Struthio camelus: one gene and its partner. The protein of the gene in region 2 interacts with the protein of the main gene of each other region in a biochemical or structural test. Links are inferred from orthologs where the notes say so. Each region holds a gene or a part of one and is shown on either strand. Other genes may lie near its edges.

Region 1 (15,322 bases), on a different chromosome or scaffold from region 2:
GATAGGATCTCTATATTTGTTCATTGTTGGGGAAATATGGAGCTCAAGGGTAGTTTTCTGTAAGCTAAAAAAAAATACAAATGCAGTGTTCGCAGGCCTGCATATTTCTACTCATCTGACATGATGCACATACAAACTGCCCAATTCCTCCTTAAATCCAGCATGGCGGTTTTTTTTTCCTTACACAGGTGAGGGAGCCTGCAGAAAGGGCATCTGCGATTACGCAGTTATCTTGAAGAGTGAGTTCTTACTGTGCAGCCTTAGCCAGTCCTGGGGCGGTCATTAATGCTTTAAGGACTATTCCTTTATGCTGGTACAGTGGGTCTCTCCTGGCAGTCTCCAGACCAGGCACTGTTGGTTATTTGATACTAGGACCTCTTGTTACTTCTCTCTGTTTCTGTAGGCAATGGGTCTGATGTTCAAGGAAAGCAGCTGGGAACAAGGAAAAGCTAATTTAGCAACCACAGATCCTGCTCCACAGCCCTCTGAAATTAAATATTTTCATTGCCTTCAACTTGTCTGAAATGAAGTCCAGATTGTTCCTGTTTTCTCTCTGCCTCCCAAACTGGGAAGAGAGTTTTGGCAGTGGAGGGAGAGTTGCTAGTCATTAACAGAAGAAACTTCTGAGGGGAAGAAGAAACAATGGGGTCCTGGCAGAAGTCAGATAAAGATCCGAATAGACATTCCTAAGCAAAAACCCACTGTTCCCTTGAGGTCAAGTTTCTAAATGCATACGTGGCCCCTGAAGTTTGCCGATCAGCTGCTTGGAAAACAATTGCCACGAGGAAGTTTTCCAAGCCTGGCTCTCTCCATTTAAGCAAGTGCTGCAGCTAGTAAGAAGAGGTAGGAGGATCAGAAAATGGCTGTGGAGAGAAAATAGATTGAGCCATGATGAGTAGGAGCTGGGATGGACCTACTGAACTCATTGGTGAGATGTGCATCTCACAAAAATATTTGAAAGTGCTTGGCTGTGCTGAAAGTGCATGTGTGCAATAGTGACTGATTTTCCATGCTTACTGCTAAGAGGACTTTAGAAAAAGTGTGGGAGCGTTGAGTTTTCAGAGGGGGTATACTGACGTTCTAACCCACAGCGTCTTGCTTACGTGCGTTAGCAACAAATGAGGTCTTAGCTAGAAGGTGTCACCTCTTCCTTCCACCAGAAGGAAACTGGTGAAGGAAACTTCCATGGAAACTTCCTTTTGAAGGAAACTGGTGAAGGAAACTTCCATGGAAACTTCCTTTTGAAGACTTAACCTACAGCAAACACATGATGGAGAAAAAGGTATTTCACCAAAACCAGCTTGATATCACTCATTGATTTGATGGGCTGCTTTGGAGCTGTGTTCAGGAGAGCCTTCTCAAGCAGAAATTACAGTAACTTCAAAAGGAGATTTTTTTTTTTTTTTTCTGCAGAACTGCCTCCCTGGCACATGAACAGTAAACTGATTGGGCTGGGTTTTCATTTTCTTGCTACTGTCATTGCTTCCAGTTCTTCTGGCTTCTAAAACCCAAAATGTACCTTTCCAAGTCAGACATCATGGTTCGGATGATGGCAATTTTGGACAGTGATGAATGTAGCAGAAACACTGCAAAGCTTTCAGAAACACAGCACAGGAATGGATTAGATGATTAACTGGTGCTTAAAGCACTTTCAGTGATTAGATCATTAAAGATCCTCTAACACCTACTGCAAGAGATGTATCTTTATAGTTAGAGCTCATATCTCGGATTCGCACCAACTTTCATCTGTTCTGACAGCTTGTGTTACCCTTTGCAACGTTTTACTTCTTTGCTGACTCTTCTCCACTGTTTTGATCGTTGCTTTAGACTATTAAAGTACAATTGTGTTCCAAACAGAAGAAGCAGCATTTCTGCATTTGTTAGATTGACGCCATTCTATGCCAGTACCTGATTTTCGCTTGAGGTTTGCTGTTGCTGAGAGACACTGAAAGGACAGGAACATAGTTCATTCAGAGTCTGCTAGTTCTTCCATCGTTATAACTCCCTGCAACAGGACTGAGATGCATCAAATTTTTGGAAGCAGTAACTGAACAGTCATCAATAGATCTGGGTTAGATGGAAAAGGAAGACTGAAATCAGAAGAGATGCTCTTCATTCCTCTGAATCCTTAGAGTTGTGTGCATCTGTTGACATTGTTGGTAAATGTTTTGCCTTACAAGCCTCTCGTTTCTTTTCAGCAGTCCCTGTGGAGCGACAACATGAATGTTGTCCTTTATTCTTCTCTCTTCCCCTCCCTTATGAAATACAACAGTGCCTCATTCCTACAGACCTGTAGAATAATATCCCTGTATAAAACACACATTGCTCAGAAATGCCGCTGAAAATACCCACTCTCATTTTCCCCCCGATTTATATTTGAATCCAGTGGCAATGAAAGCCCTGGGGAGCTTTGCCAAGAAGTCTGGAGAGCTGGCTTGCTGAACTGCAACGCTTTTGCTTCCCTCTAGCGGTTATGTCTTTATTTTCTTGTAAACTAGGCAAGACTGAGCTCTGCCATGACCTGACTGTGCCCAAGGTCTGTTGTGCAGAGAGGGAGTTTAAGAGGAAAAAAGCATGTAGGCCTGTTAGACCAGATCCATAAGCGGTGTAAACTGACTTGCATTGCATCCTGCTGATATATAACAGTTTAGGATCCAGCCTACAGCATCTTCATTTTAAGTAAATCAAAACTGTTTGCAGTTACGTCTTTCTACTTCTCTTTCTTGTTTAGGATCATTTCCATGTTTAATTCTCATTCTGCATTGGAGCTAATCTTGCCTATGTGAATGGGTGTGCCGAAAGTCTTCATGCAGGGCCCAGTGAAACTCGTGACCTCTAAAGAGAGGGAATAGGTTGGCTAACAATTCCTTTGTGGTTCATTCCGGTACCAACTTCTGATAAATCCCTTTAAAGATAAAAGTCTAGAATCCTTTTCCCCTGTTACTTCTGAGCAATGATAACTTTGGAGAAAAAAAACAGGGAATACAAAGATTAGACCTACTGATGGGACTCAATACTTTGGTAACCTGGAATTTGTGTCTGTACATCATTACTGTGATTCCAGTCTGGAAGGAATCTTCTCTGGCTAATTGGTGGCCTCAGTTTTGTTTCTAATGCTACTAGTCCATATTATGGCCTCCTTGTTTGTACCATCAGCCCTACAAGTGGCTACAAGTGGCAAGGATAGCTGGCAGTGGAATGATGAGAAGCTTGCATGGATGCTAGCCACAATGATCCTGCTGTGTTGCTGAAACAAATGAAAACCAAAGTCAATTTCCCAGGGTTGACCATCCAAATGAAAGTACTCCCAGTCAAACCTGATTTCATTGTTAGGAGTGGCAAAACTGCCAGTGACTGGCCCTTGAGAAGAAATGATCCTCCGTGTGAAAGATGATTTTGTTCTTTCACAAATACTTTCTTGTGGATGGTTAAAAAATACCCATGAAATCTCAGAGTGGGTCCAAGTTACAGCTTTGGTGAATGTCAGAGTGCTCAGAGCTTTGGTTTTCTTTTTGTCCCATCTCTGAAGCAAATGCTTATTTGTTAAGCACCCAGAATGCAATGAGCTTTTTGAATACACAGGCAACTCTCATCACTGTAATTCCAAGGTCAGGTTTTTAAAAAGGCTTGGTTATTCTCTGTCTGGTAATGAAGTGCAGTGCTATATAACCGAAGAAAGGGGCGAGCAGCTTTTATGCCTCAGGACATTTTCTACTCCCTGCAGGGGTCAGCAAGACTATTTTCTCTATCGTGGAGAGCACTGCACTAATAGCTAGAGATTTTATGCTTTATTTTGATTTTCCACTGAAGTGTTAAGCACTGAACTCTGCAAGAAGCAAGATATTAGCCCTGATGGACCAGTGGTTTGCTAAGGTGGCAAATTCTGCATTCCTATGTATGCTCTTTAATTGGATTAGCTTGTGGTTTGATTGTAACATGAAAGTGGGTTACCTCCTCACAAAAAGATTTCTGTATCCCCATAAAGAACTTAAGTGAGTCATAGATCCAGCCTCATCATGCCTGTTCTGAGGTAGTCATCTGACAATTCTACAACTCATTATATTTTCAGTTGTCAAAAGTGAAGGCAAAGCTAGTAGAGCAAGAACAGAGTTCTTTGCAGGTTTAGTCTTTGTGCAGATACCACCTGGGTCTCTGAGGAATTCAGGAGGTCATTAAGTGCCAACAGAAGACACTAAGGGATTGGATTTAATACTTTCCCTGGGTTTGTTATTGAAAAGTCTACAGAAAACTCAGTATCTCAGGGAAATACAGCTCGTACTAAAGTTATGTTATTGTCCTGCCAAATGAGGCCTTCCCCATCTTGCTCAGAGATTAATGTGTGTGGTAATATTGCTGGATTCACGGCATATTTTCTATATTAAGAGTATTCTCAAATGCTAGCAGAACCACAGCATGTGCCTGTGCACACATGCAGGACAGAAATTTGAATGCATAATATTACAGAAATCTTCAGTACTTGATGCCTCACTCTATCAAAATTCCAAAATGGAAGCAGTGAGAAATGACTAACCATCAATTGCTTAACCTTGGGATGCTGAAGTGGAATACTGTATCAGAAAGTGAACACTCAGCCACTCCTGGAAAATACTCTTTGAAGAGTATTGTGAAGAGTGTGTGTGGGAGAGAGAAAATACTCTTTGAAGAGTTGTGAATTGGTCATTCACAACTTAAGACAGTACCCTACCACTAGTTACATGATTAAGATTAATGCCATACCTTTACTTCGCTGTATATTGTATCTTGTTAAATGATTATACAAGCGTCCAGGTTCAGCAACAATGAGTGGTATGAATGTCAACAGATAGGCAGATCACTAGAGCTGGAGAACTGCAATGAATGTGATTTTTGTAATTGCTTCACTATACCAGAAATGACAGCAGGTAGCTGATGTTGTTATTTTGCTTTCTCAATATTGTCAAATCTTGTCACGTTGAGTGGTGGATTAACAATGCCATTGGTAGACCTGTACCGAGATCTGTCTCTGCATGGGATAATTTGGTTCTGGAAGTAGTAAAGCAGCATTCATGTGGCAGTGTGCAATATGGATGTGTTATTCCTGGTCAGTATCTGTGAAGTGATTTTTGTGTTGGCAGTCAACAGTGACATCAGCCTGTTTCTTTTTTTTTTTTTTCCCCCTCCTTTATATCCTTATAGTATGTTTGTATGGCTTCATTTACAAATGGTTTATATGAACTCATTTACAAATGGTTATATGAACTCTGGATTTGTTTTATCCGGATTATTTCAGTATCCCCCATTAGTCTGAGTAGTTAATAATTTGCTGATCTCCAAGTCTCTAAGAGCATCAATATCTTCTTGACAAGTATGCTGAGGAATAATTATAAGTCCAAAAAATAAGTAAATGTCTTTCATTCTTGATTACTCTTGTGCCCTCTACTGTTTGGTTCTCTGTCAGCCCAGTGGTAGCTGCATTTCAGTACCTACAATTGTGCAAATATGCCTGACCCATCTGCACTTGCTGCAGAGGGAGAAAAGAATGTTCAAATAGCAGTCTTTTTATTCTTGCACTTCCAGATTGGGCCCTTTCCTTTTAAAACACCGCAGAATGACTGGTGTAATGTGAGATACGGGGTAGCATTTGCAACAGCGATTAAGGCAACAGACTCATGATTCATGTTTAAAGTTGGAGCTGGGAACTGACAATGAATAAACTTTCAGAAACTTCAAAATAATAAATAATGATAATGTTAACAAACCTTTTGGCAGCAGCTAACACAATTGGCTCCTTTGTTTCATGCTGGTAGAAAAATCATTCCAGTGTCACAGGTAATTCAATCGCTGAGCTGTGATTTACTCTTTTAAAGAAAGCAGCTGTATATTCTGAGAAGTGAACATCCTCTTTATTTATTTCATTTTGGGGGGTTTCTAAAAAGATGGGTGGACTCTTCCCAAATATATCAATTGCAAAACATGGATCTTTTTTCTGGACTGGGTGCTCCAAAAGCACAGCCGTCTCACCTGAGCATGGAACAGTGATTCTTCTGCTGTTCTATGAAATTCAAGAGATGATAGGTCTAAAGTTGCTCCATGCCAAGCACCTCAATGGGGTCTGTGCCCAGCAGGCTTCTACTGAAGCAACTATTAAAGGCAATTATTTTTGAGCCACAAATATGTCACTGCTGTCTTATTAGCATCAACTGTCCTGTGACAAATTTCATGATCTGCAGAGAACCCATGAGTTCATTGCTTAAACAGACCCCATCTTAATTCTCTTGAAATACAAAGGGGCATTAGTGGCACCATAGGCCTGCTGGACGCAGGGAATCCACATTCTCAAGACACCTGAAATACAATAATCTGCCTATCATTATAGTTCAGAAGTAATGTTAGTCAGTTTTACGCCCCAACCACGTCTCATATAATACGTTGGAAAGAAGCCACCGAGTCTTGTTAAGGGCCACTGAGTTGGAATATAAAGCTTTACTGGATTGAATACATGTATTCAATGTACCTCATTTTTCCTGCTTTGTAATTGAATAATAATACTGACCAGATCTGTGCAGTGGCCTAGAGGTCTTTACCTGGAAAGTATTTACTAATTCCTAGAAACAAAAAATAATAAAGGAAAGAGCTGTAAGGACACTAATAATATTTGTATGACCCCTTGGGAACATTTGCTGGGGCACCAAGCATTTTTATTAGGCCAAAGCCTGCGGTGCTTGTAAAAACAGAGCCTCTCTTGCGCGTCGCACTCGGATGAAGCACTGCCAACATCAGAAGTCCCTGAAACAGTATCTATCTGTGCGTCTAAGCGGTTCGAATTTGAAAAATGACGTTTGCTTCAAGGAGCAAGGGCGCAGCACCCTTGCTCTTGTTAGCTGTTGCCTTGGACTAGACGGCGCGGTGCGATGCAGTTGCTAAAATCAGCCCTGTCTTCCCACGTCACGCGCTCTCCCTCCGACGGGCGGGCAGAAACGCCGTGACTGCTGCCTGTTAGCCGGCCGCGGCCCGGGCGGAGCGGGGGCAGCCGCGCGGCGAGCGTGCCCGGGGCACGCGGGGGCGGCGGCGCCTCGCGCTCGGCCGCGGCGCCCCCCCGCCGCCGCCCCCCCGCGGCGGCCGCCCCCCCGGCGATGGGGCGCCGCGGCGGGGCGCGTGGCCCGCGGCGGCCGCCGAGCGCGCCGGGGGGCGGCGGGCGGCGAGCTGCCGTTCCCGCGTCGGGCAGCTAGAGAGCAGTGCAGGGAGCGAAATCCCGGCCGTGGAGCCCCTGCGCGGCGGCGGCCGGGCGCTGGGAGCTCCCTTCCTGTCTGGGGCGGCTCTGGGCTGGAGGCTGCGACGGACCGAGAGGCGGCGGAGAGCCGGAGCCGTCTGCCCTCTGCTCTGCGCCGCGCCGCGCCTCTCCCCTCCTCCCCTCGCCCATGGCGGAGACTAAAATAATCTACCATATAGACGAAGAGGAAACCCCTTATCTGGTGAAACTGCCCGTCCCTCCGGAAAAAGTCACTTTGGCTGATTTTAAAAATGTCCTCAGCAACCGGCCTGTGCACAGCTACAAATTCTTCTTTAAATCCATGGACCAGGATTTCGGGTGAGTTGCCGCTCGCAAATGCCGTGCGGGAAGGGGATTCGCGTCCCTTTCTGCCTCTCCTGCCTTCGCCCTTTCCCGGTGACCACCGAGGGGAGGTGTTGGAGCCTCCCTCAGTCCCCAAACAGAAGAGCACCTGCTTTGATGGCCGCGGGCGGCTGCCGTGCGCCCTGGCTTTCAACTTGAATCCCCCGTGTGTGCGTGCACGCGTGGGGAGGTCGCGCGGGCCGGGCCGGGGCGCTCGGCGGGCTGGCGGCGGCGGCGGGGAGCCGGGGCGGCCCGGGGCCCGCGGGGAGGGCGCGGCCCAGCCGCCCTCGCGCCGCGCACTGCGGCGCCCGCTCCGCGCTAGGCCCCGGCCGCCGCCGCCGCCGCCGGGGGGAGCGGCGGGAGCCGCCGCTAAAATGGCGGCCCGGCCCAGAGAGCGGCGGGACCCGGGGGACGGCGCCGCCGCTGCCGCCGCGGGACGGGCGCTGGGCAGCGTCCTTGTCCGCGCCGGGCGGCCCCCCGCTGCGCCCGGTGCGCAGGCCGGCGCCTCTCCTTCCCCCGCAGCCGGCGCCGAGGGAGGCAGGAGCTCCGCGGCCCGCCGGGGCTGCGGCCGGGGGCCAACGGCAGCCCGGGAGGCCGGTCCCCGGCGGCGGGGAGCTGGGGGCAGGCCCAAAGCAGCAGCTCTGGGGCTGCGGAGTCCGGCGCACGCCGCCGGCGCCGACAGCTCTGCAGCTGGATCCCCCCTCGCCCCCGCCGTGGTAAGGCATCTCAACTTGTTTTTCCGTAACTCCTCAGATTTCGAGCCTGCCTGGCAAGATGGGTGATTAATGGAGAGGGCTGGGTTCCTCCAGCCGCTCCCTCCCCGCCCTGCCCTTCCCGGTTGGTGCCGTGCAGGAGCATAACATCTGGCACGGAGTTTTTGGCAGCCTCTAGTCGTAACTGTCACCGTGTTGGGGCAAGGCCTCGACCCTTCTCTAAGAAACGCTTCACTGGGGCAAGGATGTTCTGAAGAGCTGAGGAGAATCAGGCTGAGGGTGTATTGAAAGGTTAAGCCTTCTGCAAGTGCGGAAATGCCTGCCTGAAAATTTAGTTGCTTTTCTGGATCTGCATTCGCACACAGTTGATCATACTAGTAGTGTGAAACGAGCAATTATTGAAATGATAACTTCGTTGAAGGACCTGCTGATAACGTGTTCTGCTTTATTCACCACTGATAACATGTTCTGCTTATCAGCAAGGCAGAAGACAAGGGACCAGACTTTCAAATGCCCTTTGTGATCGTCTAGGCCCTGTTCCTGACTAGAGTTAGGAGATACTTGACATCATTCTAGTTTACACACAAAAATATGGGTTTCATGCCGCCAGTCTTATTTATGCTTGTAGTAAAACAAACCAATGAAAATACATTTGACAGTTTGCCAGAAAGTAATTTTCAAAACATATTTATCCCTTTGTAGTAAATCACTTCTCTTTGTACTCACATCTGTCACTGGCAAGACAATCTTTACATATTAAGTGCCTTGCCAGAAAAAAGAGAGCAGATTTGGGAAAAGTAATATGGACCTGATGATAAAATAACACTGTGATTAACGTATGAATGTAATGTTTGGTGAAATATGTTGTCCCGAGTGTCCTTTTACATGTTAGGTAGACTTTTTCTTTTCTCTTACTTCAGGCACGAGACCTGAAGCCTTTAACTGATCATTGTTTCTTTATCCATGATGGAATGTGGATATTGTTTTGTTGACACGTATTTCTTAAGTGTCGAGTTGTTAATATTGGCGTGTTATTGCATTGACTTGTTTTAGTGGGTTGTGGAAACATTCTGGGAGAAACAACTACAGGAACTGCTTGTTTTCAGAATAAAGCCTTTGGAACTGTCTAGTCATAATTTTTTTCTCCTGCACCCTCAAGTGACAGGGCACATGCCCTGCAGCAGTCTTAAAATTCCAGCTATGAGTTTTTATGGAGCTACCTCAATAAAGGATGTTGGATTTATTGAGACAGCATGGACATTCGCACCCACCACTACAAACAATTACTGCTGGAAAGGACATGAACTGTGCTAAGACATGTTGAAGTGTAACAGGGATATCTCCAACACGTTCTGGGCTCTTTTTGGTCTTTGACCAGGTAACAAGGTTAGTAACACAGATTCTGCAGTGGATTTTCTTGTTAGTCCCAAAACCAGGGTGAAAGCTATCTCTTCTTGCCTTATCATGGAAATGGAGATGTTGGAAGATGAAGAGTTGCAAATGGATGATTAGGCTTAGGGCCTGTAAATTCTATTTCCCTTATTTATACAGCGGTCTTAAATATGACTGTGCAGCACTCCTGGTGTTTAAAGCATTGTCTGTGAGGAGGGTGGCTGTGCTTAAGTTTGTGATGCATTCAAATAGTGTGGAATTGGATGTGAACTGGATCAGTAGCAAATAGAGATGTGTAATCATTTGCCTAAAAAAAGGACAAGCTCTGGGGAAAACTTCATAGAGTGTTGGCAGATGAACACGTAACTGTGGGGTATGTGAAAACGTGAATTTGCAGCTAGCTAGTTGCTTTGTGGTAATTGCTTGTGTTTATCCTTTATGCCACAATACAGCTCCAGCAAACATAAAGTAGTTATCCATTGTTGAAAAGGGGATGCTGCTTCATCTTCATGGGAGGGTGCATACCACTGAGCAGTTACCATAAATCTGTAGAAGATGATGAGCTGTACATTCATGCTGGGCTTACCTGGGCATACAGAGCTTACCTAGTTTTTAGGTCCATCCCCTGCACATAACAATTAATAAAATTTGGAAAAGGTTGCATGGGTTAGTAATACCACAGGACTGAAGAAACTGATAATCTGAACTAAAAATTTTATTTATTTATTTTTTACAGTAGCATTAGGGGCTGCTATGGGACGGCATGCTTTGATCAGAAGTTATTACTGGCCTTAAAAAAGGGATCACTGGAAGGTATTCAGTAGCCTATAATAGACAGGAGGTCCATGTTGTCATTAAAAGCTATGAAAAGATATGGCTGGTAAATTAAAAGCTAGAGAGAATTGTGATCCTGCTATATGTTTAATCCTATGTAACAGGAATTTAACCCCAATATTGCTTATGTACCCTCACCTGACATGCTGTTAAATGCCTATATGCAAACATATATAACTTCAATTTGCAAGATATATGCTGTATTTCAGGGCCCACCATAGGAGTACAAGTGTGAAAAGAAAATTAGCTTCAGTATTGGGCCCTGTATTACCTAAAGATTTTCCTCTAAACTATAAAAATAAACAAAGCCCTACTTTTTCTCCCTGAGCATTTATTCTGTCTCTCAAGTACAGACATTTGCTTGTTTGTTTTCTTTTCTGTTAATCATCTGATTGCAAGCTGAGGAGCCAGAGCACCTGCTGCTGACAATAGGGAATCCCTATCTGGTCTTTGTTCTCCTTTTTTTTTAAACGAAATTAGAGCTATATTGCACGAGTGTTTTGTTAAAAAGCTCTCTGCAATATTTTCAGGGGTGAAAATACTAAGTTTGTCTTTTAAACCCTTTACTAAAAGCCTCCAAAAGTCTAACAACACACAAACTGGTGATAGATGTGCTCATTCGTGCAGATTGGGTTTTAAGATTGGTGCCTATATGTAAACATAAATGACATTTCTACTCACTTTATTTTGCAACTGAGCTGTGAAACACCATAAAATTGCATTTGTAATTTAAAAAAAAAGCTGATGCACCATTAAACAGTGCTAACAATAACACAGTCACATCACAGTTCTTTTTCCTTCCATGACTGTTGGATGTAATCAGGGCTTGGGATGCCATAGACCCAGGAGTGCTGTGTCTTTCTCCCCTTTTGTTCTTTCTGGGCTCTTCTAGCTTTGTATTACACCACCTTCCTGTGATGGGCTCTTTTCTTCAATTCCTGTGAAAAACAGCTGTGTTCAAACTGAAGGTGTGCTTTATGACCAGGGCTATCCATGAGGGTATCTTTATGAGTTTTTTAATCAGCTATAATGTTATATCACTGTCCAAGTAAGAGTGGGTATGCCTGATTTTCAAAACGACCCATGTGGACATAACACAATCCTATCCTGCAGGCCTTTTTTCTGAACCCGAACTCAGAGGTCACTATAAATTTGGGCCCAATGTCTTCTGTGTAAATATGGTGTCTGCTGTATGCTGAAGGCCTTTTTGTGAAGCACATGTTTACTTAATGGCATGTCAGAATAATTCCACTACCCTGAACAGGTCATCTTATGTGTAGAATTTATGCTTTAATTAGTAATTCTGGAGATGATGCAGCTTGCCTCTTGAGGAAAAAAGATGAAGTGACAGATTAAAACAACCTCATTTCTGTTATTAATTTGTCTCTCTCCCCATTCTGTTAGTATTGACCATCTCTTTATTCTGGCCTCCTATTAACTTAGGCAGTGTTGCTATGAGGGCCTTCTCTATATCTTCTCTGATGTGTACAGCCTTTCTTGTTTCTTCCACTTTACGGGCTCATTTCCTTTGTATCAAATCTTGCCAACTTCAGTATTTCATCTTTTTTGTTTGTAGCTGTTCTCTCTCTCTCTCTCTCTCTCTCTTCTCTCTCTCTCTCTCTCTCTCTCTCTTTCTCTGCTCTGTAACTTAATTATGTAATTGTGATAGCTGACATAGTTACGCAGAGTATTTTGAAAGGTTGTACTACTGAGTCCATTGGGGTGGGAATTCGTTGTCTTGAGATAGCTAGAAAAAACTTTATAGCTAGTGATTCTTGTAAGCCAATAAGCCAACTGTGAGATTTGCCTAGCCGTTAAACCAGTTTTTTGTTCCTCTCTCCCTAATTTTCACAAGAAATTATGATTATCAATCAGAAGAAAACTAATGTGAATCGTGGCCATCTTAGTAAGTGTTATAGTAAATATAGGATGGTGTTGATAATCTTGTCTTCAAACTGACATGTTTTTGTTGTTGTTGCAAATAGGGAATTATAGCTGCAGTGGCCGCTAACCATAACAAAACTATGTATCTAATTTCTCCCTTATGTGCCTGAAAATGTCCCCCAAATAAGAATTTTTTTCTATCTTCTGTAAGTGGTACTTAGACCTAAATTACAGTAACGTTTTGGTTTTAAATGTAGCGTGCGTTCTGTAGTTCCAGTCTTCTGTTCCTCACATTGCTGCTCCGTGGCTGCGCAGAACTATAATTTGGCATGTTGACTGCCACTTGGCAGGGCGGTTTTTAAATCCCAATATGGAGTGAAAAGTAGTTCTTGTGTTAGGAAAGCAAATATTTTCCTGCAGAAGTGGAGCCTCCTTGAGAAGCCAGTGATGAGGAACTGACTTTGCAATACTGCACATATTTTTTTAATTAAGGCACAGCCTTTCCTGGATCCTGAAATAATGTAATAAATAATTGTGTTCAGAAACAGTGTATGCATTGAACTGTTTCCAACTGTGAAAGATCAGAGTTCCTTAGAATTGGAGCGGAGATGGATTTGGGGCACAGAGCCATACCAGGCTCTGCTATGAAAATGAAGCAGTTACGTATTTTGTATACTTGTGTTGACCAACCAGTCTGCATTCACCTTTGCTTCTTGGAAAGAGCAGGAGAAGAATGTTACAGGAATGGTGTATTTCTTTCTGAACTTCAGTTACATTGTAGTTTACCACTATGCCTTGCAGTGTTAATGTTGTACTGTCGGTAAAGCTGTAGAAAATAGATGTAATGTGGACCTCTGTCTTCATTTTCCTGACAGTGTTACTGTGATATAGAAATACTTTTTTCTGTGCCGTTTCCTTCTTGATGGTGACTTCTACACTAACTCTTGATAGTGTGGACCTGTCTGTCTTCTGAATGCACAGGCTTTCCTACTGAATTTATGTGGGTATGATGTGTTGTCTTTAATATGCAGGATGTTTAACTGTGTTCAAACTTAAAGGCTCAACCTTTGTCAGTGGTTTGTAGCTTCTATTTTTCTTCTAGTCAGTGGCAGATTAAGATGGGACATTACGAGATCACATTATAGAATGTGGTAGTATCCACCAAGAATAGATTTAGAGAAGGTGCTATTTGTGATATGTCTTGGAGAAAAGGGGGATTGTCATCAGCTGACATAGTTGCTTATAGCAATTGATTCTCTTCTCTCAGGGGAAGAGCTTAGAGATTACTTCCTATCACTGGAGTTGTTGATTCTGGGGTTACAGCCACGCATCCTTGTAATAATCCATGTAATGCAATTTTGTTGATTCTTTGATGATTGAAAAAATGACAAATAACGAGTGCAACTAAAATAAAGCTATAGTTTCTGATGCCTGTGTTCTCATCATCGAAACTCTGACAACTGCATAAGCAGTGTAGAATCTATGCACATTGAATCTGCGTGACTGATCCCGTATTAAGAATTCCTAAACATGCCTTAAATGTTAGGTGTTTCCAGAGCTTTTCTGTATTGTATTATAAAACACTATAAATGACTTCCAAAATGCAAAGCTATAAATGCGTATGCTCCAGGCATTCCCGTCAGTTTTAATTCTGCTATAAAATAGCCTATTTTGAGACTCCGTTCTACTATTTTATCTCTAGTTAGTATAGGATGCTATGCTGTGACATAATTATAATATGAGAGATTCAGAGTAAGAACTATCCCATCTCAAATACATTGCTTGGGCCAAGTTCTCTGTACAAAACCTCATTCTGATAAATATACTCCGTAGAGCATTGTTCTGGTTTCCATTGTGCTGTTTAATCAAGATGTGAGTAGAGCAGGAACTACTGATAATGTCTTTCAGTACTGCAGGATAAGAAGAATAAGCTTGTCTTGGGCTCTGTAATCTTCATCCATCAAATACCAGAGTATGTCTATTCTGCTGTCCTTCTGGGTGAGGTTCAAGTCCTCATTCTTTCCATTGTGTGAACCAATACTCTTTTGATTATACTTCTTTAGGGAGTATTTGAGGAGTGGCTTTTTAGGCATTCCTTTGGTATCAGTAACAGAACTTCCTATTAAACTATAGTTTTAGGAGCAGCTGTTTCTTGCACAGAAATTGCTTTTCTTGGTACCTGGTGTATTGAAAACTAGCAAGCAGTTGTGATTTAAAGCTTAGGATTGTGAGCTGAATGGGCAATTTTTTTTACAGAAGAACAATATGGAAGCACTATTTTGTGTTTTTTCTCATGGAGACAATGTACCACGCTCTGTTTTTACACTTGTCCTAAAATAAGTTCTAACTTAGAATAAGGTCTAACTAAAAATGTCTAGCTATGGAGATCTAGAACAACTTCACCACTGAGAAAGTTTTAGAGGAAAGAGATTTAAAACCAAATTATTTTGTGATTTTTTTTTTTTGGAGGTAGAAATAAAAATAGGAGTTAGGTCTATTTGTAAATGAGGCTTAAAAGACTGATGCGCTAAGTGCCATTTGGACATTAGGCGTATATCACGTAGAAAACAGAAAGTTAACATGTTGTATGCACAGAATTCTGCGCTCATTGAATGTAACCACAAAAGCGGTTGTAAAAATCCCACAAGCAAAGGAACATTGGACAAAAATACGGAAGCCTTATTTCTGCCTATTTTCTGTCAATCAGATGCTGTGGCAGTTCTAGACTCTGAGCTAGCCAAACTCAAGAGAAAGCTTTTGGGCAGAGCTCTGTGCTTGGAAAACTGTTCCTGTTCTCATCCAGGGATAAGGCATCAGACTGGACAAAAGTGGCTTGCAGGTAGGATTATGCATTTTAGGTGGTCTCTTGTGCTAGGTAGTAGTTAGGGCATAGACTTTTTTGGTGGGG
Region 2 (14,844 bases):
TTTATTCTCACCCCATTCCTATGCTATAGGGAAGTGCCACTGTTTCAGTTTTACAGGCAAGGTATTTGAGACAGAGATGAGATTTTCCAGTTAATTATCAAGACATGTCCCAAAGCACATGGGAAATTAAGTGCTTACAAAAAGTGCGTTCCATATACCTGTCTGCATCTTCAGCTGTCTGAATACTGCTGAAAGTCTGGCCTTAAGTGATCTGTCCACCATCTGTGACAGTGCAGGTAACCGAGCACTTATCTTCCAAATCCTCGATTAGTGGCTACTTGCGGGTACATCCTTATGAGTCCATCTGGATGAGATAAGATATTTTTCTTTTGCTACAGCCCCTGTCAGAATTCCCCATTCACCATAGGCTTTTTCTTAAGCCCCTATGCATGTTAACCTGAGGAAAGGGACAGTACTGTGAGAATAGTCTTATTTCTTGCCCACACTGAGAACAGCAGTCTTTTGGCTGATTATTTTGAGAAGAGCGCTAGAATTTCCAGTACCGCCAGTAGAGCTGGAGTTAGTGAGGAACTGGGCCTCTTTTCTGTTCCTGATTGTCATCCTGGCCTTTGGGATCCTCCTGTTAATATTAAGGTTCGTGGCTGCCCTGGTGACCACATGATGGGGTTGATTTCCAAGACCTGTGCAGCCAAAGTTTACTCATATAGACTACTCCCCTAGGCAATGCATGCTGATTTTCCACCTGTATTTGTAAGAATATCTTGCTTTGTAAGAATACCATGCTGAAGCAAAGGGTTGGATATATAGCCAAAGTCGTGACACAGCTAGGCTAGCCACAGTGAACATGTTGTTGCTAGCAGGATTTTCTGACTAATATGAATAAATGATTTCCCTCTCCCAATTTACAATTGTTATTAAAAATGTGCTCTCGGCCCTGCCTATTTCTGCCCTTTATGCATTTTTTTTTTTTATCCCAGCCCCCTAGTTTCCTGGCATCATTGGGCTAGCTGGACAGAGGGGACCAAGCTAGGCAGAGGAGTATGCATTTAGGACCGTGTTTGAGCCTGTCCTCCCTGGGCACCATTTATCCAAATCTCATTTGACTGCAGCTATGGCGATGCTGTGCTGGAGCCCAGCCTTTAAATGACGAAGGGAAAGAGTGCGGTGCCCCACCGCTGCCAGTTTGGCTCTGTGATGAGCACTGCCGGGCACCTGCGATGGGCCGCCTCGGCCAGCCATGGCAGTCTTTGAGCAGCGCGAGAACCTGCCCGTCCTGCTCCGGCTGCAAAGCAAACCCATCGTCTGAGTCGCGCTCAACTCTGGCGTACATATTGTAGTTGTGTAGTTTGAGCATCATTTTAGTTAAAATTTGTCAGTTCTAAGTGGGGCATTTGGGAGCTTGCCATTCACTGTATTTATTCTCCCAATCCTATATTATCCTGTGCAGAGCTGTAGCTGCCAAAACCACATGCTCGTGTTGGCATGAAACAATTATCTCAGTTTATATAGAACAGGCTTGGCAGTAGTCTATCTCAAGGAACAGTCATAGTGCTGAAAGATTCAGAGTCATCTTTTCCTCTCCAAGCAACAGACTGAATTTCTTTCAGCAGGATTCATGATTTTAAATAATAACAGGAGTAGACAGTAAGAGTGAGAGCAGACTGTATAGAAAGGACCTGTAAGGTCAGGAAGGAAGTGAGAATGAGATGCAGAAAGAGAAGACTATTTAAGATATAAGCTAGTAATTTGGTTTCTAAACCCATGAGAAATTATAAATAATGTTTAAATAATGTTTACTGTTGCCAGTTGCTGAATACAGAGAAGTGTGGGTTTTTACTTGCATGCAAAGCTATTGGTTGTGGGTGAAGTACTTAGACCAAAACATTAAATTGCTGGTGTGGGTATTCCACCAAAAATAAACCCAAACAAACACTGACATATTATAAAAGCACATTTTTCTGTGTAGACAGACTTGCAGTTGCCGCTGCTGTTCCGAACCCCAGCCCTATTAAAGCCTTCTGTTTAACTTATTTTCTTATACAAAGTAAAACAGCAATGTCTCTGAAACTTGAGAACCAAACAGTAAATGTTATATATTTTTCATGAAAACATGGTATACCCCCTACAATTACAGGGATATTTTTCAATGATAACCATTACTTGCTAAGGTCGTCTGTGTTGCAAAAAATGCAGCATACAAAAGGGCCGAAGGTAGGGGGTACAAAACTTTTCTTAAACTTTAAAAAAATGCTAACTGAAAGTAAACTTAAAGATTAATTGAAGAAAAATTGTTTCACAGTGATTAGCAAAGGTTTGTTTTTCCTCCTGTTTTCCAGATTGCTTCACAAAGGGTTTTTTAAATTGTACTCCATTATAACAGTTAGTGCTACTTCATTATCAGAATAGTGATAGAGATTTTTATTCCAGAAGGCCAGGCACTATCACTACTTGAAATTCTCCAGATTGTTTCCACTGCGAGCAAATTCAATCTTGATGCGAGTCACATTTGCTTAAAAGTTAATAGCAATTGCTTTTACTTTATGTCAGCATCAAATGTCACCTACAAGCTCAGATGTAAAAAAACAAGTTCGATCTCAGGGTTGGGATAGCTTTGTATAAGTGACTTTAAATCCAGAAGTCCTTAATATAAAATATTAAAATAAAAGCATTCAACTTTAGTGGTTTCGGGTTGAAATGGAGACATTTCCTTTCAGATAGGAATGTCTCATGTGAACTACACACACAAAAAAGGTCTATTTAAGTTTTTTCCACGTACAGACAAAAAATAGCTATCACACCTAAATGCAGTTTCTCATCCAAGTAGAGAAGACGTGGACTAGATGCAAGTGGACTGAGGAGCAGGGAGACAGGCAGCCTGCATGAATTGCAAGCTTAGCTGTCCACAAGGCCTTCAGGAATAATTGCCTCTCTAGCAGCACAGGGGCATCAGTCACCCTCGTGCTCCCGCGGGCTCCCTGTGGGCTCCCCAGCTCTCCGCGCTGGCCGGTGCAGCTGCTTCAGCCCCCAGTGAGGATTAGTGGGAGGAAATGTTTAGAGAAAGGTTTAGATTTCCTAAGCGAGTGGAGTGAAACCACCCTCAGCAATTATCGGTGAGCTCATGTCACAGAGCAGTTTGAAGCAGCCTGACTTGCGGGAAAGCAAAGGCCTTTTAGAAAGGAAATTTGACAAGTGAAAGATTCTGGGGAGCAGCTAGAGAGGTTTTAAAGGGGAAGAGGTGGCTTTTATGGAGAGGCAGCACTGAATGGGGTAGCTCTGAAAGTAACTTTAAGTCAGTATTTCACACACCTTAAATGTAAATGGTTGTTATAAGTGTCCTAAAAGAAAGTGCAGCTATTGCAGTGTTCAGGTAAATAAAATAACATTGCAGGGTCATGCAACCAAAGCTACCATGATGGCATCCAGCTACAGCATCCTCATTCTCTACTTTGCAACTGATTTTTCACTATAGCTATGTCTGAAAGCAAAGGGAGGGTGACAAACCCAGTAAATAGCCAGAAATTACAAGAGGAAAGCTGGCAGTGATCCACATTTCACAGGTGTAAAATTCTGTCTGCTGTGGCACTGTCCCTGATGGCAGCAACACATCTTGGAATCTAAACATTCATTTCAGTTAAAAATGAAATAAAATAGGACCATTCAATTGACGCTATCAGCTTTCAGATTACTGTGGTAAGAAAGAACATAGGCTTCAGGCAGCTATTAAGATTAAAGTAAAATTCACCTGAGCAAAACTGGAGATAGTGAAAGAGCTAAGGAAAAAAAAAAAAGCCAGTTCAAAACACTGCCCCATGGTAGCTATTGAAAAGGGCCTTGTTTTTCCCCTAAAACACTCCACCAGCAAACCTGTGATTTAATTTATAGCACTTGCAGCACCCTCCAGTTCCCAATCTCAACGCCCCTTTGGCATGGGAAAAGAGCATTATCCTTATTTTATAGATAAGGAAACTGGTTTATCAGCTTGCCCTCAGCAAGAGGCAGAGCCTGGAATAAAACTTGGCTAGGATGCAGGTACCTCAAGTGAGGGCAAACATGCATTTAAAACAGCCTCAAAATGTGATCTTTGGTTAGGGGCCATTACTTCAGAAATGCTAGTTTCAAGTCACACAGAGTTTCTCCTCAGTTGTGTATTTACCCCAAAGTCTCCTCCTTCTCCCACAGCAAAGCCTTTGGTGGGGGGGGGAGAAGAGGGAGGGACTCTGAACGTGACAGAAGGGGAACATCCAAGTGTTCAGAGACTAAAAGAACTGCATTGGAGCCCTTGTATTAAAAATTATTTATTTAGTGATCTGTACATGGGATGAAGCAGGGCCTCATACAGACCTTCCAAAAAAATCAAGTAAAAACATAAATACATATTTTCTTACAAAAATGAAATTTACAAAATATACATACTGCACTTGTCTTACAGTTTTTTTTTTCCACGTGCACATTATAAAAGACAAAAACCCAAGCCCTACAAGTCTGAGAACAGACAGACTGAAGGATTTGGCTGTTGGGCTGTTCCTCATACCCAGACTACTGGTTTGCCTTCAGACAGCAGTAGTCTGCCCCCTCACCTGGAATATTTTTTTCCTTTTTAGTTTAATTCCAGACACTTCCCCCCCCCCAAAAAAAAAAAAATGAACAGCAGCTATAGGGTGGAGACTTGCTAAAAATCCACAATTTCCTATTTTGTCCATAGGCAAGAAAATATATACACACACACATATATTTATAAAAACAAACCTTTCAGTGAATATAAAGGTAGAGTAGTATTTAAAAATAAAATATGAAAGAGTCAACATAAAATTTTAATAGAAAATTGTCACATTTCAAAAAAAATGCTGCATCTGATGATTAATTTTTGAATGTCTTTCCTTCCAAGATGTGATCAGTGGAAGCTTAAACTGCTGTATTTTTAGATAAAAATGAAAAGGTTGCTCATAGTAACTGCTTTCTTTTTAAAACCAAAACCCAGCTGCCCCCAGCCCTCTCCTGCTCCACGAGTCATCGTTATGTGGTTCAGGGAATCGGAGGAGCTGGCAAATTTGTCCATCATGAGCAAAAAGTATTCTCCCTGTCCCCAGCGCCCAGCTGCCTATCGACTTTACCTGCAGCAATCTCACTGCAAAACAGGAGAGAAAGCAGGTTTACTAGAACGAAGGTGGGGGGGGGGGGAAGAGAAACATCTTTATCTTACATATTTTAATAGGTCTTGTTTTGGCAGGTGCTCTCAGTTATGCTCTTTCCCTCTCTTTTAAGCTTTGCATTTCCTCCAGCTTAGAAAAGCAACCCATACCGAACAGTACGAAAACATCCTGCCTCCTCCTTTTTCATAAAAGGAATGTTTATTTCTGTGAGCTCCTCACATCCAAGGGTGAACCTCAACGACTTCTTTTTGTTAGTTTGCCCATAAAAAGCGATCCCATGCTTATGCCTTTCTACATAGAAAACACTTTTGTTTCCCCCTTTGTCTCCTATAACAAAGGCAAGGGGGAAAAGCCTTCTGCTGAAAAGCAACAAGTCATTTCTTTTCAGGGTGTGGAATAGCAACCCCCTCCTTCCTCCACAGCAGCAAGAATAACACACTCAAGGCAGACTTTTCACTTTAAAATAATGAAAACAGGTATCACTGAGGGGAAAAAAAAAACTCCTAAGCTGACAGAGTAGAGGCATCTCAACAGCACACGATCTGGACTGGCAGCTTGTTGTACAGTACTCACGTGATTGCTCCACTGTGGTTCAATGAGCAGACAGTAACCTAGGGCTCTGAAGTTACCCTGCGAGAGCTGCAATTTGACCTCAGGAATTCAGAGATAGTTTGGCTACTTCTTGGCAGGGGCTGCTCAATGGATGTGGCTTTCCCTCTCTCCTGTCTCATCCAAAGCAAGGCAGGACGTTTTGAGGCCCCCCCCACCCCCCGCATAGGGAAGAGGTAATGGGAACTTCTTGCAGGTAAAGGACTCTCCCACCCCACCAGTGGCCTGAGAACCCTTTTCTGTGCTCTTCCAATTAGCTGGGCATAAGCACCCTTGGACACAGGGCATCTGGTCCTTTATGCAAAGATTCTTTTTCCCCCTGGGAGGAAGCAAAAGTTTTAGAAAGCCTCCCTTTCCTCCTCCTTTGGGGAGCCATCACCTCCCTTCTGCTGAGTATCCCTCTTCTGTGTGTGTGTGTGTGTGTGTGTATGTGTGTGTGCATGCAGAGGGGGCAGGAGGGTCTCATACTGCTGTCTCTCCCTTGCTGCCAGTGCTGAGTCTGTGGTAGAAGCGTCGCCAGGACTGAAGGGTTTTGCCAGACCAGATCCAGAAGCCAGTTGTGATACCAACAATCATGGTCATGAGGTACTTGATCATGAAGACAGTGAAGTCAGGGCTCATAGGGGCAAAGTGGCTGGGACAGGGCACAGCATAGGATTTGCAGGTCTGGAGGAGCCACGTCTTCTCCCAGGTGCCACGGAAAGCCTGCTCATAGAAATAGCACGCCAGGACAATGGTGGCAGGCACTGTGTACAGGACACTGAAGACACCAATGCGCACCATCAGCTTCTCCAGTTTCTCTGTCTTGGTGCCGTCATGCTTCATGATGGTTCGGATGCGGAACAGGGACACAAAGCCAGCAAGCAAGAAGGAAGTGCCGATGAACAGGTACACAAACAAAGGTGCCAGGACAAAGCCTCGCAGGGAGTCCACGCTGTAGATACCTACGTAACACACCCCACTGAGCACGTCCCCATCCACCTGCCCCATGGCCAAGATAGTGATTGTTTTGACAGCAGGCACAGCCCAAGCAGCAAGGTGGAAGTACTGGGAGTTGGCCTCAATGGCTTCATGGCCCCACTTCATGCCAGCAGCCAAGAACCAAGTGAGGGACAGGATGACCCACCAGATGGAGCTGGCCATACCAAAGAAGTAGAGGATCATGAAGAGGATGGTGCAACCTTCTTTCTTTGTGCCCTGGGCCACAGTGCGGTAGCCATCCTCAGAGAAGCGCTCCAGGCATACCACACGCTCCTCCAGCAAGAAGCCTGCCGCATAGGCCACTGCCACCATGAAGTAGCAGCCTGAGAGGAAGATGATGGGCCGCTCTGGGTAGCTGAAACGACGCATGTCCACCAAGTAGGTGAGCACGGTGAAGAGGGTAGAGGCGCAGCAGAGCACAGACCATACGCCCACCCACAGCCGGGCAAACCGCACCTCCGCCTCCTTGAAGTACATCAGCCCGTTGGGCCGGGCTGGCTCACAGGGGGCCCCGCAGTCCCTTTCCCCCAGGAAGCGGTAGCCCAAGTAGGGGGGCACCTTGAGCTGCCGGGGGCAGGAGAAGGAGAAGCCAGCGGGGGACTGCGGCGGGGTGAGGAAGTCCGGGAGGTAGCCCGCTGTGGGGTGGGCCGTGGCACCCCTGCCCGCCCCGCCGCCGGGGCCGGCCGGCGCGTCCGACGTGTTCTGCCCCACGCAGATCTCGCCGGCGCCGTGGACGGGGAAGTTCTCGCAGCGGAGCCGCTCGGGCCACTGGAAGCCGAACTTGTTCATGAGGGCCTCGCAGCCCTGGCGGGCCCGCTCGCACAGGGAGCGGCACGGCGGGATGGCCTGCTCCAGCACCGTGCACACCGGCGCGTACATGGAGCACAGGAAGAACTTGAGCTCGGCCGAGCACTGCACCTTGACCAGCGGGTAGAACTGGTGCACCTCCAGCCCCGCGTCCTCCTGGTTCGTGTGGCCCAGCAGGTTGGGCAGGATGGTCTGGTTGTAGGCGATATCCGTGCACAGCGGGATGGAGATGGGCTGGCAGAAGCCGTGGTCCGGCACCGAGATGCCCTTCTCGCCGTGGTACTGCTGCGCCGCCGCGCCCGCGAGGGGCCCCAGCAGGGCGCCCAGCAGCGCGGCCAGGCGCAGCCAGCGGCAGCCGCCGCCGCCGCCCGCCGCGGCGCCTCCGCCGCGCATCGCCGCGGCGCCGGGGGGCTCAAAGGCCCAGGGGCATGGGCGGCGCCGGGCCCCTTCCGCCGCGCCGGCCGGGGCGCTCCGCCGCTCGGGGCGCTGCCCGGCGGCCCCCGCGGAAAGTTTCCGGAGGCGAAACGCGAGATGCACCAACCTGGCGGAGTCTCTCGCCAGCCCCGCGCAGGGTCCGGCGGCGGCGACGCGCTGGCTCCGCTGCCCGCCTGGCTGCTCGGCCCCGGGAGCCCGGGATTTGCGTTACAGTTAAACGGATTAGGACTTCGCCCGGCTGATCCGTGTATTTTACTCGGGGGCTTAAAGAACTTTTAAAATCCAATTACTGCGCGATCCGCTGCGCGATCCGCCCCGCAGCTCCGCTCCCGACGGGCTCCGCTCCGGGCTGCGCGTCCGGGGCCGCCGCCGCTCCGCGCCCGCGGCTGCGACGCACCGACACCGCCCGCCCGCGCCGCCGTCCCGCCCGCGCGGCGCCCACAGCAGCACATATACGTGCGGGCCCCGCCCCCGCCGGGCCCATTCACAAACCGCGCCGGGGGCGGGGCCGGGGGCGGCCCGCCCGCCAATCCCCGCGCCCGCCCGCCGCCAGCGCGGAGGGGCGGGGCGGGGCGGGGGCTGGGGGAAAAAAGTTGAGAAAAAGTTGTGCGCGGCCGAGCGGGGGCGGCGGGGCCGGGAGCGCGCTCGGGGGGGCCGAGCGAGCGAGCGAGCGAGCTAAAATTACTGCGCCGATTGCCGAGCAGGCTCGGCAAATGCAAACAGCTGCCTGTGCCCAGAGTTATTAGCGACAGCAGAGAGTCGTGCCCGAGTCCGGCCGCCGGGGGGGCGGGCGGGAGCGTTGTCGGGATGTCAGCGCCTGGGCGCCCTCGCCTCCCCGCCTGCGCGGTTTGAGTTGTTATCACGGCCTGGCCGTTGGTTTTTTAGTGGCAGAATACACGCTTTGTTCATGCGGATCTAAGCTTTAGCTAGAGGAAGGCAGCTTTTTCTGAAAAAGTCCAGTGTTACCTAAGCAAGGAGAAATTTTAGATCCACATGTGTGCTGGTGCAACCCCATTAAGAGACTCCAAAAGGTCATTGAAAAGCAGCAGTTCCCGTGTGGAGCCAGGCTGGCTCGGAGAGAGAGCGTGCCGTAGGACAGGAGAGGGGTGGCATCGGCGTGCCGAGCGATGCTGAGCAGATCTAGAGCTAGGCCAGCGTGCCTGTGCTAAGGCCAGAAGTGTGGTTTTTGCAGCATAGTTGTATTTTGAGGTGCACCGCCGAAACATGGGCTGCTGGAGCCGTCCTGCTGCTGCAGGGTCGTACAGGTAAAGAGAGGATCTTCAGCAGCACAAAAAAGGATTATGTTCTCAAGAGGAGTCCTGCAAGGGCGACTGCTTTTCCCTTAGCCCTGACCTTTGAGGACCTCTGGACAGAGACTCTGGAGCCAAGGTTTATTCACTCGCTCGATCCCTCCCTTTGAGGATGGAGGTCTCCTGAGCTATATCCAAACTCCATACTATCCAAATCTCTTTTACTCTGGATTGTGCTCATTGGAGTGACTAAGCAAATGCACCACTCTATATCACCCCATAGAGCAGTTCAAGAGAGCAGAGTTTGGCTCAGGGAGCTCAAACAGCAATTGTTGCACAAATGTTTCCCGTATCCTCTCCTGCTCCTGAACAGCAGGTCCTCATACCAGTAAGACCATGGAGCTTTAGCTTTTGTTGTGTTTGTCAAGAGAAGTTGACAGTTATAAATGGGCTTACTAGAATAAATGTGCTCCTCTAAAAGTGGACATGTTTTTAAAAATAATACTCTGCTCTCCAAAATACGTATGTGGCAGGATTAGCTATTCCAGGTTGTAACAGCTGTTTCTGGAGTACAAATAAATCCTTTCTTCATTCTCAGTTATAGTTGTTTGAGGGCACCTTAGAGACATTTCAGTTTTTCAGCTTGGTAAGGTTCATTTCCTGAATAACTTACTGTTGTAAAGCTAGTGACTAAGCAGGTTTTTCTGATATGCTTCGCCTAAATGATCTCCCTTAGTAGAAGCTTACGTGAACTTGTCTACTGTATTATTTGCTCTTTGGTTGTCAGTAACGTTTTAAAAGATTATTCTTTTCATTTTTTTTTCCCTATCCCATCTTTCTGTAACACCCCATGAGCCACTGAGTCACCTATCTTTAATAATCACCTTAAAGCCTTTATTATTCTCTTTGGCATATATGACTGACTTCATCTGCAAAGCATTTTGTAATATTCACTATGAAAAACGTTGGCTGAAAGGAAATGTTTCACTGGCATGCAATGACAATGCAGAGAAAGGCAACTAACTGCAGACTTTCTGCCCCATGCATTGCCCCTTCTGATTTCCGTATATGGGAGAGAGATTCACAGCTGGTAGAACAGTATTGCAAGAGAGCATCTTTTCCTACAGGAAATTAGGTTTCAGTAATATGGAGGCAGTGGCAGAACTTATTCAGAATAAGGAATGTCAAATCAAGTGGCAAGACTGTAACGTTGCACATGGCACCAGTGATTCCCCTTGTTTTCTACCAGGCCCATTCATTAGAGTCATTCCTCCAAACCATGGTAAGAAAGAAAAGACAACTGGGAGTTCTGGTACCTGCTATAAAAGCTATATGACTCCATTACGTTTATGTTGATAATGTGGAATCAGAGTACAGCAAAAGAAAAAATGACCTTTAAGGGTAAGCAGAAAGGAAGATGGAGGGAAAGCTGCATCTTAAATTATTTCTTGGTGAGATAAGAAGAGAAGCTTATCATGTGTAATGACACTGCTAGGCCATTCCAGATGGTAGGAATGAGCAACAGGATGGAGGAAGAAAGTCTCTTGGGCTTGTTACCCAATTCCAGTTTTTTTTTTCCTGCAAACATAGACCCACTGGGAAACAACCACTGAGAGAGTAGACAGCAGTCTCAGAATGGTGGATTGTGGCCTAAGAAAAGCTCAGGCTGCCAAGTCAGTCTAGGGCATATTGACAGTTTTTTTTGGGGGGGAGGCACACCGCAAAGCAACAGCAAACCCCAGGATTCTGCATTGCAGGTTACCCCAAAATATTCATAACTATAACTAGCATCAGCCATGTTTCAAATGAGAGCAAACTTGTGCTTGTCTCCTGTTTTTACCTCAATCTGAATTCACATGTTTAGTCTGCAAAATTACTTAAATTTCCTCACAACAGGAGGGATTCTCATCAGCAAGTAAGTGTAAGCAGCTAGCATTCGCCAGGTTATTGGCCCCATAGGACAAATGTGCTGCACAGGATTTTGCAGCTTCTGAGAAATTGCCTTTTGCAACCACATAGGAGTTCAAGATGCTTTCCCTGAAAATCTCCCAACTGCTACTGTTCTGAATATCCTGCATTGCCTCTTGTCTGCCAGCAATAAACCTTCAAGAGCAAAACACTGATAAGTCCAGGGTATCAGAATGAACCTACCGCCTCAGATATTGGTACCAACTCTGGAGCTGTCTGGGAAGTGCTGTACATAGGGAGGAGTTCTTAGGAGCAAACAGTTACCTGTCTTTTTACACATTTAAAAATAAATCCAGTTCTACCTCCAAGCTAAGTCTAAGTGAAGAGGAGTGTCCCAATGTGATGCCTTTTCCTCCTGTTTTAAAGCATTGCTAGTGTCGCTTTCCTTGTTTTTTATCCCATCTGATACAAAACTTTTCCCATGGCAGGAAAGGAAATCAAAACAAAACACCCTCTCCCCACCCCATCAGTCAATAGTTGTTCTGTATGCCTGAGGGTGAACTTTTTAAGATTATTTGCAGAAACATGCTGTCTGAGGGCCCTCAATGGCCTTATTGCTAACTTAGTTGCCAAAGCCCCAGATGCAACCAGCTGAATTGTAGGACTTGTAACGTTTAAATTTAGTAAATAACTTCTATGACACTTTCAACCTTAACATTTTGAAGCATATTTGCATAAAATCTTACATGATCAGGCAGGCTATTGAGCAAAGAGCATCAACATTTGCACTACCTCAAGCTTTGTGGGGATAGGCCAGAAGCCTTAGGGGGGGATATGATGGGTTTGCCTATTTTACATAAAGATTTGCATAATTAAAAATAAAATAAGTTCGCAGATATTATATCTGCTTGCATGTCTGTCAGTATGATAGATTACTCTGAACTGCATATTTTTTAAGTTTGCCAGAGAAGTCTAGTATTTCACAAGGGAGGAGTGGGGAAGGGAAGTCCCTGTGCCCCACCATGGAGGCTTAATTTCAAATTAGACTGAAGACATAAGAAACTGATTGAAGAGAGCAGATGGGGAGGGCACAGGTGACAAAAGGAAGGGGATTCTGCTGGAGGGGATGTGGCTTCCCACAGTGAGAGAGGTAGGAGCTGGTTGCATCATGGATTTGTAAGATAATTATTAGCTTATGAAGTAGTATCCCAAAGGATGCAGTGGAAGCTCCACTGCCTTCCCCATTTACCATGAAATTGGACAAAACATTAGGAAACATTTACCAAGATGGGCTATCAGGCTGATAATTGCTTTCATCTCTGTGATCCATGAATAAGAAAACAAAACCTGAAGTTATCTACTCATCCCCACTCAGCAGTTCAGTGAGGGCATTAGTTACATTTTAACCCTTGCATGACACTTTGGATTCCCCTGTTCTTTAAAGTGATTTTTATCTGCTTTCTTACAATTTTCTGGGTTGCAGAGGCCCTTTGGTATTAGATGCAGGCCATTCCTCTCTATTTTATTTTCTATTTTGTATCTAGGTACTTTTTTAACAAGACAAATTCTCTGCTAGCAGCAGTATTGTCTGCCAGGCCCTGTCATCATTCTGTCTGGGTGCACTGGTATCATAGCATGAAGAAGGGAAGCCTCCAGAGACAGTGGGAAAAAGTGACATTCATGTCTGCTGTTCCCTTTCCATCTGTGCTCTGAGGATCTGGATGTTGCATAGTCACATGCAAACTTACTTTCTGATTCTTTAAGTCATGAAAGGTGATCTGTCACAGCGAAGTGCTCGGACCCTTCCCAGACTGCCGTGGCAGGTTTTGGCTGATGCCCTGAGATGTGTAACGTAGGGTCCTAGGCAGCGCCTCTGGCTGAGCGTCTTGGGGTCTGGCTGCCCGAGGCTTCTGGGCCAGCTGCCTTTACGCTGACACTGCTGAAGGCCCAGCCTCTGGGTGCTCTAGCTTATCATGAGCTTCTCCCAGCTCTTGTGATAAATGACTCACAGGTCGGCAAAGGTCTCTCGCAGAGTTATTCTTTACTTTATAACCCCAAAACTATCACAGATCCAAACAAAACATATATATACCCTCCCCTGCTTGCTCTCACCACCGTGGAATGTTTTTCAGGAATTCAGCCAGTGTCTTCTTGTGGTTCAAGCTCCCCTTCCCAGGACTATATTCCTCTAGAGTACTCTTCCACATTGTAGATCAGCTTTTTTTCTCTGAAAGCCAAATTCCTTGACCGTTTTCTGGGCTCTCTGTCACAGATATCCCTTTTCCTCCAAAACCCAGTGGTATTATTCCTTCTGTGATTCCCCCTTTTGTAAATTCCCTTTCAGCTTTTGAGGCTCTACGGCCAAAGACAAGTGCTAACATGTGATTTCTACGTCCTTCTTGAAGGAACGGCAGCACTGTTCCAAAGTCTGGCTTCCTGCAGAAAAGCTAGAGAAAACTAGTTCTGGCCAGCCAATTCTGTATAGCTGCTCCCATTTGCATAGTTGCCAGTAAGGTGACTTAAATCTCTTATCCAGGGGCTTTTTTGCACATAGCTCTGACAACATAAAGCTGGCTGAGGTATGCAACATAGAACAATAAAAAACATCCAAGTTTCCCAAGTTTGTACTTAAACTTCCCAACTCATTGCGGATGGTGCCATACTACTTATGAACACTGAACTACGTTTTGTTTCCCACAGCTCCAAGGTCGGTGAGGACTTAGTGACTGGTTACCAACTGATGCCCTCTAAACGTGCCCTTAACATGCAATAGTCAAATGCATTGTGCTATGTCTTTTGTCATTTATCCCCCACCTTGTTTTAATTTTATCTTTTTGTAGTGTCATTTATTTGAGGTTATATTTTAAAACCTTCTAATGCACAGCCTGAAGACTTGCACTTGTCCTACTTGAGTTAATGGGTGAGTTTTCATTTGGTTCAATGAAAACGGGGCAAGATACTCACCAAAGCCTCCAAGTCTGTTCGTGTAATAAGAGGAACTGGATTTAGCCCAGAATAAGAGATGGGGAAGACCCATTGGATCACTTAGTCCCTGCTATTATGCATTCTAGTGGTTTGATTAGTCTGATTTTAAATGCCTTGAATAATGAGACTATTGCCATTTCTCTTGGGACGTGGTTCTGCCATCTGACAATCATTTTGGCAGGAAGCCACTGCCTGATGTTCAAACAAATGGTTTATCTTTGCTTGATTAAGACTCACTAAAGATGAGTGCAGCCTCCAGAAATATGTTGTTTCCAAAGCTCAGAAAACAAGGGAAGTAGAGCTGTTATTCAATACAGAATTTGCCAGATGTCTAAAGAGGCTGAGGAATTCCTAAGCCTTTGTTTACAAAATCCTCCCTCCTCCTCCCATGAATGCTTAAATTACCAATCACTGCTCCCATCCTCTGTTTAGGGTGAAATTTCCTTAACTGACTCCACTTCCAAAATTGGATTGGAAAGAGAAACAAACATTTTAATTACTTTTATTTTCCCTCTTCCTGATGGGCTTACACAAATTAACCCTTTGGCTTTGCAATTACAATTAAACTCTTAAACAGAATTGTTTCTTTCTTCCCTTGGTCCCAGTCATGCCCTGCAGACCCACTTGCCATGGTGGTTTGCGGGTGTAAGGCCACACAGAGGTTTGCTGCATGGGGCTCCTTCTGGCTCCCTGTACCCCAGCCCCAGAGAGCAGCCTGGGCCAGGGTGCTGCCCCAGGCTGAGGATTACCCTTTTTGG

The links.
Region 1: the proteins of FZD7 (region 2) and DVL1 form a complex in vitro, tested with the Homo sapiens proteins (2 studies listed by BioGRID and IntAct, with this or other methods). The link is inferred for Struthio camelus from reciprocal best matches to the Homo sapiens genes FZD7 and DVL1.

What each region holds. Positions count from the first base shown.
Region 1 is NC_090962.1:3,697,818-3,713,139, forward strand, and holds the start of DVL1 (segment polarity protein dishevelled homolog DVL-1), read left to right. Parts: upstream 1-7,170; 5' UTR 7,171-7,397; coding exon 7,398-7,567; intron 7,568-15,322. UniProt on the Homo sapiens protein: Participates in Wnt signaling by binding to the cytoplasmic C-terminus of frizzled family members and transducing the Wnt signal to down-stream effectors. Plays a role both in canonical and non-canonical Wnt signaling.
Region 2 is NC_090947.1:10,062,532-10,077,375, forward strand, and holds FZD7 (frizzled-7), read right to left. Parts: upstream 7,902-14,844; coding exon 6,183-7,901; 3' UTR 5,118-6,182; downstream 1-5,117. UniProt on the Homo sapiens protein: Receptor for Wnt proteins.